2 linked regions of the Arabidopsis thaliana genome follow. Each later gene encodes a partner of the first gene's protein in a complex. Each region holds a gene or a part of one and is shown on either strand. Other genes may lie near its edges.

Region 1 (5,198 bases):
AACGCTGATTTTCAAGACTAGCAAGAACAAAACAGCTGGACCGTTTGGGATTGTATCTGGCACAAAGTTTGAATTCAAGAAGGAAGGTTACAAGATCACTGGGTTCCACGGACGAGCTGGTGAGTATGTTAATGCTATTGGAGCTTATTTAGCTCCATCAGGCACCACCCCTTTGACTCCTGCAACACAATCCCAAAAGCTAGAAGGAGCTGGTAGTGAGGCAGGAACTTTATGGGATGATGGTGCTTTCGACGGTGTAAGGAAAGTGTCTGTAGGACAAGCCCAAGATGGTATTGGAGCGGTCTCGTTTGTGTACGACAAAGCAGGTCAGGTTGTAGAAGGAAAAGAACATGGAAAACCCACATTGCTTGGATTTGAAGAGGTATACTTTATTAGTTCTTGCTTTCTCTTTCGTCGTTTAACCGTATAGTTTATTATCCTCAATTTTGTTCTTTTTTGTGCTTCTTGAATTGCAGTTTGAGCTTGACTATCCAAGTGAATACATCACGGCAGTTGATGGCACCTACGATGCAATCTTTGGGAATGAACCAATCGTAAATATGCTTAGGTTCACGACTAATAAGCGAGTATCTATTCCTTTTGGAATAGGAGCTGGCACAGCCTTCGAATTCAAGAAGGACGGTCAAAAGATAGTTGGTTTCCATGGAAGAGCTGGTGATCTACTTCACAAATTTGGAGTCCATGTCGCGCCAATAACCAAATAATTATGGAGATTTTAAGTATCTTTTGATGATAGTTTACACACTTTGAATAAGCTGATTCTACTTTATTTCTCTCTGTTTGTTTACTGCTTCAGTGTTTTAAGTCTTCTCTTTGTGTTTGTTGCTGTTGTGTCTTTGATGGATTTTTGTGATCCGATTTAATAAAAGAAGTGTGTTCAAAGTAATTCTCTAGTCTCTTTATTTGAAATTCCGGGGATAGCAGATTGGTTTCCGCAACATTGACTCCAAGTTTATAATGATCTTGATGATGGTCTAAAAGTTTTGAATAAGCTGACTCTAATTTACTAGGTTCTGTTTGTTTATATACCTTCAGAGAGTTTCAAGTCTTCTCGTTGTGGTCTTGTTCTGTTTTCTTGATGTGATTTCTTATTCATTTTAACAAAAGAAGTTTGTGCAAAGTCACAATGCAGAAACCCACTTTATTTAGATTTTAGATAAGCAAAGCACACAGATGCATTATCCTTAAGAAAAACAAAATACAACACTAGACCACAACTTCATAAACTCACAACATAACCTTATTCAAATTTCAGGGATATCCAGATTGGTTTCACATCATTTGGCTATGGGCGCAACATTGACTCCAAGTTTGTAAAGATATTCACCAGCTTGTCCATAGAAACCAACGATTTTGTGGTCTTTCTTCTCCAGTACGAATTCAGTTCCTCCCTCGAGTCCATACGGGATAGATGTTCTCTTGTTTGTTTTAAACTTAAGCGAGACGATTGCCGGGGCATCTACACTAAAAATCTTGTCATAGTAGCCCGACACGGCAGTGACATACTCATCTGGTCCAAGCACAAACTGCACGTTTTGCAACAAAATTAAAGACTTTAGGTTTCTAGATCAATAACTATAGAAAACAAGATTTGAAAATGAAATCAAGATTACAACCTCCTCTGCTCCAAGCAATGTCTTCTTCCCATGATCACTTCCAAGGACAGGCTTTGAAGCCTTTTCATAGTCAGCTTTGAAATAGGTCACACAAGAGTCACCTTGTCCAACATATATCTTCTTGACACTGTCGTGAACACCATCATCCCAAGCAACTCCACCATCTCCACCTTGTGCTGGAATAGTATTGGAAGAAGGAGTCAATGGTGTGGACGAAGGAATAATATAAGCTCCTAGAGAATGGATCAGATCACTTGAAGTTCCATGGAATCCAACGATTTTGCCGCCTCCTAGCTCAGCTTCTTCTCCAGAGGTTAGTCCAAACGGCTGAGAAGTTTTTCCTTTGAATGTCTTGAATATAAGAGCTGTGACGATCTCTATCGGTGACCCGAAAAGTTTCTCGTAGTAAACTTTCACATAGGTGATGTAGTCTTCAGGATCAATCTCAAACTGCAAAAACAAAAACACATCAATACTAGAAAGAAAGAAAAAAAAAACTTTTGGGCAATTTCAAGAAATACAAAGATTTGTGTACCTCCTCTGTTCCAAGTAGTGTTTGCTTCCCATGTTCAAGTGATACAATCTTACCATCTTTCTCGTAATCAAACTTGACATAAACAACACCAGAGTCACCTTGTCCAACATAAACTTTCTTTACATTGTCATAAGCACCACCGTCGTCCCAAACATCTCCACCACGACCACCTTGAGCTTCCAATTTGGTCAGACCACCTGATACCGGCGGAGTCAGCGGTGTAGTCGACGGAATTATATAAACTCCAACAGAATGGATCAAATCACTTGAACTTCCATGAAATCCAACGATTTTGCCACCTCCTAGCTCAGCTTCTTCTCCAGAGGTTAGTCCAAAAGGCTGAGAAGTTTTCCCCTTGAATGTCTTAAAGATTAGAGCCGTTACGATCTCTATCGGTGATCCAAAGAGCTTCTCGTAGTAAATTTTCACTGATGTTATGTAATCTTCTGGATCAACCACAAACTAGCAAAAAAAAAAAAAGACAACCAAAAATGATCAGTTAATGTTGATGACAAGAGAACTCTCATTGAAAACAAAATATTTACCTCCTCTGTTCCAAGTAGTGTCTGCTTCCCATGTTCGTGTGATACGATTTTTCCATCTTTCTCGTAATCAAACTTGACGTAAACAACACCAGAATCACCTTGACCAACATACACTTTCTTGACGTTTTCGTAAGCACCACCATCGTCCCATTCTTCTCCTCCACGACCACCTTGAGCTTCCAACTTTTTCGCCATCTTTTCTTCTTAACCTAAAGTTATAGTACCCATTTCTTAGAAACTGTAAACGCACAAGAGCCATGAACAGACACTACTCAAGCACTTTCATGATGATGAAACTAATCTAATCTGAGGACTATAATACTTCCACTAGGACATTACTTTAAACAATGGTATCATATTCTCATAGATTCATTATCATATAAAGAAATTCAATAATTCAAATAAAACTAGTAAAAATCAATATAACGATTTTGTGAAAGAAAGAAAAAAGGAGTACATTAAAGGGAAGGAAGAAACACCTTTGAGTGTGAGAAATGGAGATGAAGATGGAATATGAATGAGTTAATCTTGGGATTTTGTATATATACTATATAGTATATATAAAACATTTTTGAATACGAACATTAAATTCTCTTTTCATCCAATACTAACCACTTTTTTTTTCTGCCAATACTAACCACTTTTTCTTTTCTTTTTGAGAGACTTTATATTCAACCAACTCGTGCTTCACGAGGGATGGAAGCTTTGATTAGTTAGGACTTAGGAACTTGTATTAATCTAAATATCTTTTTTTTTTTAAAATTGAATCTACCTTACAACATAAAATTTGTAAAGAGAATTCCAAAATTCCAAAAAAAATCACCTAAAATTTTAAAATCGTGAAAGCAGCATCGTAAAGATGTTCTCTTCTGTTTTTTTTTTTTTTTTTTAACTCTCTTTTGAATATTGGATTAGAGATTTTCACAGTGTCGTAGATTCTTCGTAGAGTCTGTTATGAGTTGACATTTACCATAGGAATTGCATTATCGTGAGAAGGTTAAATGATAAATTGACATTTATAAATTCTCAAAATGTAGGTTATGAGTTGTCAAAGAAATGTAGGCTATGAAAAAAAAAACTTACGTCTAAAAAAATGCAAAGTTAAGAAAGAAATACTCAAAGTTCGTGGCATTTGACCATCTCTCAGCTACACCTCAAATTATAGCTCATGAGAATGGCCCATGAATATGATTGTGGCTCCGTTAATCACGTGGTATTAAAACTCACACACGACCATTTCTCATCTGCCTCCAATTATAGCGAAACCGTTACAACTCGTTGTTCACGTGAGCATCAAAATGTGCATTACTCCTTTCAAGTTCGGCAAATCCTAATTATCCATTTTAATGGACTGCAGAGACTTTAATTAGAGCTTATAGAACTTTAAACATTTTGGTTTAAATCTTAAAATAGAAATTTAACCAATCTCAAATGATTTTTTTTTCTTTTCTTTTGGCATAAGTTTCATAACTCGATGATGAATGCTACGATAATATAGACATACAGTATGATGATTAGATGAAAACAGATAAAGAAGAAAAAGTGTATCGTACGCCCCACTCGGTGATAATGATTAATGAGACTATATATGAGAGTACCCAAATATGATTTTTTCCACTCATGAATCGTATTGCACTATTTCTGCATTATTAAGATAGACCCACATTTAACATTAGACCAAAAAAAAAAAAAGATAGACCCACACCACCTGTTATAGTATTTAGTATTTTTACACATCCACTAAACGACGACAATTGACAAAATCACACAAACCTTTCTCCTTTATTCATTTTTGTTTAATTCGGGTCCCTTGCTTTTTAGCATTCGGCTCTCATTCTTATCTTCCCATGGATGGATAGTCATAGTTATATAATACAGTTCAATTGAAGTTATGCAGTATATATATGCACCACACACGAGTCTTCTATATATGTGGATACTACGTTTCAAAATAATTCTATTAACTTAGAGAAGATAAACTTTCTTAGTACTTTTTTCGTTTCACTTTACACACACCTCAAAAAAATTCTTGTTTCATTTGTGACTGCATGTAAATGTCGTTACCTTACTTGAATTTTTACACAATGGTACGTGAAAAAGAAAAGAAAAAAAATATAATTGAGAGAAAATATAATAGGATCACACCACTACAATACATGGGCTTTAAATTCATCTTTTCTATATGTTATAATTTGGGCCAAGACTATTATATCATATGGGCCTATCAATGTAATTAGAAGCAATTGCCCGATCCAATAACCTTAATTAGGAAAAAAAATCGTTCCCTTCTCTCGTTTCTTTTCAGCTCTGACTCGGCCTCTATCTCTCTCCCGTCGTCAGCCACATTCACCGGTACTCATCTGACCAAGCTAGGGTTTCGCAGTCATCATCATGTACCGTACGGCAGCTTCTCGAGCCAAGGCCCTTAAGGTCAATGTCCTACTTCACTTGTTTCCATTGAGATTCTGGTTTTTTTAGGAG
Region 2 (6,169 bases), on another chromosome or scaffold:
TTACTGATCATAATGCGTGGAAGGTGGAACCTATTATATTGTTAATACTTAACAATATTATCAAAGTACAATAATGTGATTGCTGATGCATCGTGACGTAAAACAAGAACACCTTCAAAGTCAAACACCAAGAGAGATTGTCGTTACATGTGTTTTTAATGATATATAAGGAAGCTTCATTATTTTGGAGTTATACAACGACTTTCATTCAGTCACATTTAATATATATTTGTTGCTTAATCGTGACACATGTCGAATTTATTTTATTTTTTAGTATTTAATAGTTTTATATTTAATTGGAAGTTTCCATTTCCTTGACTACGCCATAAAGATACACAAAGACTCTTAACTGATCCAGATCATTGAAGTAACCAAGGGTAAGTAATTGAACTGGCCATAGTTAGTAAAAGATTGTACCAACCGTTTCTTCATTCTTAGGAGAGCAAAAAAAACTAGTCGCAGTGTATTCTTCTTCTATGACGACTAGACGAGAGTAGTGAGTCGCAATGTGCTTTGGTAGGGCATCAGCTAAGAGGAATACACATATTTTTAAGTTGCTTTCTTCCAAGGTACAATATTTGACATATATATGGACTTGTAAACTTACCAGATTTTCTGATCATGTAAATAGTAGCTTTCAATGTCCTCGATCACAAAGGCCATGAAGTGTAGCATTTTGAGAAATGGTCATTCCAAATCTAAATGGACTTTCTCATTGAGTTGTTTGAAAGAAAAATAATCAATTACACCACCAATTGATCGACCAAGAAAAATGTTTGGTGAATAATAGTTACCCCAATTTGTGTTTTTTTGGGCAAAAAAGTTGCCCCACATTTATATTTTAATTTTGATGCCTAAATTTCGTTGATCTTAATTAGGCTTTACCGCACTGTCCTGACAGCAGTCAGCATGCGACTAGAATGTGACCAATTGTTTGTCCGAAACCGAAGATTACTCATTCCAAACTCCCAGTCTAATTGGAGGTTGTGTCTTGATATCTAATAACTTGTTTGATAACCATTATAAGGTCTTTTGCTTAGGTTTTACGGTCCATAAGTTACCAATGTATCCTATGATCAGGACGACTACTACAGGTTCAAGATTTTGAAGATATAGGTCATACACTAGATTTTCTTATTTATAATTGTATAGTTTAGCTTAGTCACCCGGGATCTCTCATCGAATGAATCATCCTATTTAAATAATAGTCAAGCGGAAACCAATAATGAAAGATTATATTAAGTTATGAAAACGTCAATAATAATCATGATTAAGATAAGATCGAAAACACCATTTGGATGATTAGATCTATCTATATAGTAAAATAAAATAAACATTATCAACGAGGCCTGGTTGTGGCATATTAAAAACAAGACATTAATGAGAGATCAGTATCGCTATAAAAAACGACACTAACATATAAATGAACCATCCTAAAATTGTTTTCTTAATCAAGACAAAAGAAAAAAAAGAAAACTAAAAACCAAAATGTCATTGCAAAAGTTTCTCATGGGGACACGTTGCTCCTAACCACCATCGTATACAATAGTTAAATAATTGTATACTATCTTAGTGGGATAAGTAAATGAAAGTTTATTCAATAAATATTAATATCTTAAACGTCAATAATACCTAAAGTAAGATCCAAAAACTCGATCTGGATCATTACTATAGAAAATTAAAGAAAATGATTAACGAGGCCTTGTTGGCATATCTTTTTCTTTTCTTGTAAAACAGATCTGGTTGCATATTTGAAAGTAGACATTAAATGAGAGATCCGTTGATTATGGAAGATTAAATGTTAATATTGTTGCTCGTTAAACACGAGAAATATTATTAAGACGAAGGTGCAACAATAGATGAAGACTTCAGTTATAGGACATACACGATTTTTTTTTTTTTTTGATAGGATACACTATTTATTTAAAGGCACGTTTTTATTATATGTTCCACGCGTAATATAATATGTTCCAAACTTTGAAAAATAAGTAAGAACACACCTATATATAAAATAAATTTATTAAACAAATATAGTTTAGTGACTTATTTGTCATTACCAAACAATCAAAATCACTATATAATTAAGAACTCTGTTTAGATGTAAACAAATCATCACAAACTTGTTCTCTTCCAAAAGACCAAAAATTAGAAACCATGGCATTGCAAAAGTTCCCTCTCCTGGGGCTTCTTTTTCTCATAACCATTGTCGTCTCTTCGACAATAGCCGTCGATGATCCTGTGTGCCCAACGACGTCCAAACTAAGCCGAGCAAGTTTCCCTAATGGGTTTGTGTTTGGCACAGCTACTGCTGCGTTTCAGGTAAACTGTGAGACATCAAAATGAATTATTTACTACACTATACTTCAAAAATATGTATTAGTGTTGTGTCTCCATCAAAATTCAAGCCTAAGTCCAAATGCTGAATTCAAACATATGTTATTACCTCAACTCATCAGCTATTTTCGTTATGTCATTAGGTTGAAGGTGCAATTAATGAAACTTGTCGTGGACCTGCTCTATGGGATATCTTCTGTAAGAGAAATCCAGGTGAGTGTATAATCTATATTTTCTATACAATATCTTTAGATATCTAAATTCATTCACTTTTTATTTTTAAATTACAGAGAGATGTAGTGGCCACAACGCCGATGTGGCCGTTGATTTCTTCCATCGTTATAAGGTAAATATATATATGTATTTTGAATCTAAATTTAAAGTATATTCAAAAGAAAAAAAACATCTTTACAATAAAGTGCCTCTTGTTTGAAAAGAATTTTGAGAAAATTAACTCAGAGGATGCTTACAAAACTTTGAAATGGTTAGACCCTTGAGAGGAGCCACACTGTATATATAATATATTAATATAAAGTTGAGGTATATATTAATATAAATTTAAGGTATATATTAATATAATTTTAAGACAAATATAACTTATATTTTATACTTTTAGTTTGCTGATATTATACGAGATATTATTGAAAATTTGTCTCGTCTTAAAAATGTTTGTAGGAAGATATTCAACTAATGAAGAATCTAAACACAGACGCATTCAGACTCTCAATCGCATGGTCAAGAATATTTCCTCGTGAGTATATGTCTGCAGATCTCTAGTTTGATTTAGTAATCGAATTTGGTGAATTGATATATAAATCAATAACTAATGAATTTTACATTTATTGACTAATCAAACAAACTAACGGGTTTTTAGATGGGAGAAAGGAGAAGGGAGTGAGTCAAGCTGGTGTGAAATTCTACCACGACCTGATCGATGAGCTCCTTAAAAATGGTTATATACATATAAACTAATTAATTAAAAAAGACAAGAAATATAGTATCATTATTTAACATTTCTATCTATTTTTACATTGTAACTAGGTATAATTCCGTTTGTGACTGTTTTCCATTGGGACACTCCACAAGATTTAGAAGACGAATATGGCGGTTTCTTAAGCGAGAACATTGTGTATGTTTTTGTAAATTGAAACAAAATACATCTAATTAAATTTTATATGGAAATTATTAGTTTAATATCATTTTTTGCAAAAATACAGGAAAGATTTCCGAGAATATGCAGATTATGTTTTCACTGAATACGGTGGAAAAGTGAAAAACTGGATCACTTTCAACGAGCCATGGGTCTTCGCTCATGCAGGTTACGACGTAGGCAAGAAGGCGCCAGGACGTTGTTCTCGCTACCTTAAAGGTTGTGAAGACCGAGATGGACGATCAGGTTATGAGGCTTATCTAGTTAGTCACAACCTCCTCAACGCTCATGCAGAAGCTGTTGAAGTTTTCCGCCAAAAGGTAATTTACATTAGATATATATATCAAAATTAACTATCAGGTTTTGGATATGAATATAATTTGTTTTGTGTTGTGTTAATGGACATTTTGTAGGTTAAAGGTGGGAAAATTGGAATCGCACATAGTCCGGCTTGGTTCGAACCACATGATCTTAAAGATTCAAATGACGTTCCAACTGTTAGCCGTGTACTTGACTTTATGTTGGGATGGTAGGTATATACTTTGATAAAATGGGGTCTTGTATACAATTTCATATAATTGATGGAGTTTTGATTATTATTTGTAGGCATCTAGACCCAACTACTTTTGGAGATTATCCACAAATCATGAAAGACCTTCTTGGTCACAGATTGCCCAAATTCACTTCTTCACAAAAAGCAAAATTGAAAGATTCGACCGATTTCGTAGGGCTTAACTACTATACTTCAACATTTTCAAACCATAATGAAAAGCCAGATCCGTCTACACCAAGTTGGAAGCAAGATTCTCTTGTTGCTTGGGAACGTAAGTTTTTTTTTCCTTACATGAAACCAAACCAAGAAACTAAGAGAAAATGTTTTCTTTATAATACTAATTGATATGTATACATTTTCACTTTTAAATTTCAGCTAAGAATGTAGATCACAGCGCCATTGGTAGCCAGGTATGCGTTAAACTAAACTAGTCCTAGTTTGAGATTGTTTTAACAACTAAACAATTAAAATATTTCTCTCAACGACATAACATCTATCACCATTGTTTTATTTTCAGCCTCTTACCGCTGCATTGCCCGTCTACGCTAAAGGTTTTAGAAGTCTTTTAAAGTACATCAAAGATAAATACGCAAACCCGGAAATTATGATCATGGAAAATGGTAACTCGAGATTTATGGTTACTGTGTGTTGATTTAGTTTGGAGTTAAAATATATATTCATCTTAATGTTGTTGTTTTTCTAGGATATGGAGATAAACTTAAGGACAAAGATTCGGTTGAGGTTGGTACTGCTGATTATAACAGGAAATACTATCTTCAGAGGCATCTTCTAGCTATGAACGAAGCTATTTGGTAACCGTTTACTATTTATTTATTTAGAGAACAATTCTATGGAATGATCTAATCAAGAAAATTTGTGTATGTGCAGCATTGACAAAGTGAGAGTTACGGGATACTTTGTATGGTCATTATTAGATAACTTTGAATGGCAAGATGGTTATAATAACAGATTCGGACTCTATTACGTCGATTTCAAAAATAACCTCACACGTTATGAGAAAGAATCAGCCAAGTACTACAAAGATTTCCTCGGTCAAGGTGTTCGTCCATCCGCGCTCAAGAAGGATGAGCTTTAAGTTATATTTTGAGGATTTGGTTTTCTGTTCAATGCTTCTTTCCTATGTTTTAGTTTGTGATTGATCATGATTCATGAAGTCTTGGTTAATAATAATAAAAGTGTTTTGTATTCCTTCAGTTTCTAGCTTATTTGACATGATCAAGAATGCTTTAGTATAAATATATTATCCTTATATGAAGGTATCTTTACCTTCAAAACATGAAGAAATATTGTATTATATATATTAAAAAAAGTCTTAAATTTACAAAAGGACTGATGTTTTTAAATATGAAGTAAAAATATCATAGTTTTTAAAATATTGAAAATACGAATTTACCTCTATTTAAAGAAATAGATTATGCAATAACTAGACGTCGTCTTAACAACTAAATCGTGCAAATATTTTAATGACTAATAACTTCAACAACTTAAACCGCTTGGCGATGAAATAAAACAATGGAAATAGTTTAACATTTTTAGAAAATCACCATGATTTGAGATCGGATAAGATGTCACACCGTAGCTACAAGTTTGAGATTAATCTTTCCAAACAATTTAGATAAAATCAAGTTACATAATTTGATATCGGATAAGATAAGACAATGTACATAAAAATGAACACAACATAATATCAGCAAGATGGTTCTAATATAACAGATTGGGATTCTACTACGTCAATTTTAAAAATAATCTCAATGTTATGAGAAACAATCAGCCAGGTATTACAAAGATTTCTTTGGTCAAGGTTTTAAGGCCCTGTTCGTTTCTACATTTGATAGATCCATCCAACTGATCCATTCAACATGTCTATTTGGATGATTTATTTAACTCTTGTTCGTTTCATTTTTAGTCGGTTCATTTGACTGGACCATCCGAATGAGATGTTCGTTTGCTTATCTCTATCTCCATCCAAATGATTTGTAATAATACAAATACCTAAACTACCCATGCTTTCATCTAATTATATTTTTTATTATTACTTGTAAACATGTTAATTTTAATTCTTAATCTAAAATATATTTAAAAGTAAATAAATTTCAAATAATAGTTTTTTA

The links. Proteins that work in one complex are often made in the same cells at the same time.
Region 2: JR1 (region 1) and BGLU22 share a complex: the UniProt entries of both Arabidopsis thaliana proteins name them as parts of the PYK10 complex.

What each region holds. Positions count from the first base shown.
Region 1 is NC_003074.8:5,594,798-5,599,995, forward strand, and holds JR1 (Mannose-binding lectin superfamily protein), read right to left. Parts: upstream 3,248-5,198; 5' UTR 3,197-3,247; exon of another isoform or gene 3,175-3,196; intron 2,927-3,174; 5' UTR 2,913-2,926; coding exon 2,718-2,912; intron 2,635-2,717; coding exon 2,173-2,634; intron 2,088-2,172; coding exon 1,638-2,087; intron 1,548-1,637; coding exon 1,299-1,547; 3' UTR 884-1,298; downstream 1-883. Other genes in the region: JAL34 (Mannose-binding lectin superfamily protein), read left to right, coding at 1-382, 477-725; MPPalpha (mitochondrial processing peptidase alpha subunit), read left to right, coding at 5,109-5,147.
Region 2 is NC_003070.9:24,705,723-24,711,891, reverse strand, and holds BGLU22 (Glycosyl hydrolase superfamily protein), read left to right. Parts: upstream 1-1,895; 5' UTR 1,896-2,154; coding exon 2,155-2,319; intron 2,320-2,477; coding exon 2,478-2,547; intron 2,548-2,624; coding exon 2,625-2,680; intron 2,681-3,009; coding exon 3,010-3,085; intron 3,086-3,208; coding exon 3,209-3,286; intron 3,287-3,375; coding exon 3,376-3,463; intron 3,464-3,551; coding exon 3,552-3,804; intron 3,805-3,897; coding exon 3,898-4,013; intron 4,014-4,090; coding exon 4,091-4,308; intron 4,309-4,412; coding exon 4,413-4,447; intron 4,448-4,554; coding exon 4,555-4,657; intron 4,658-4,740; coding exon 4,741-4,849; intron 4,850-4,925; coding exon 4,926-5,133; 3' UTR 5,134-5,380; downstream 5,381-6,169. UniProt on the Arabidopsis thaliana protein: Beta-D-glucosidase active on scopolin >> esculin >> 4-MU-glucoside. No activity with DIMBOA-glucoside, pNP-glucoside, oNP-glucoside and sinigrin as substrates.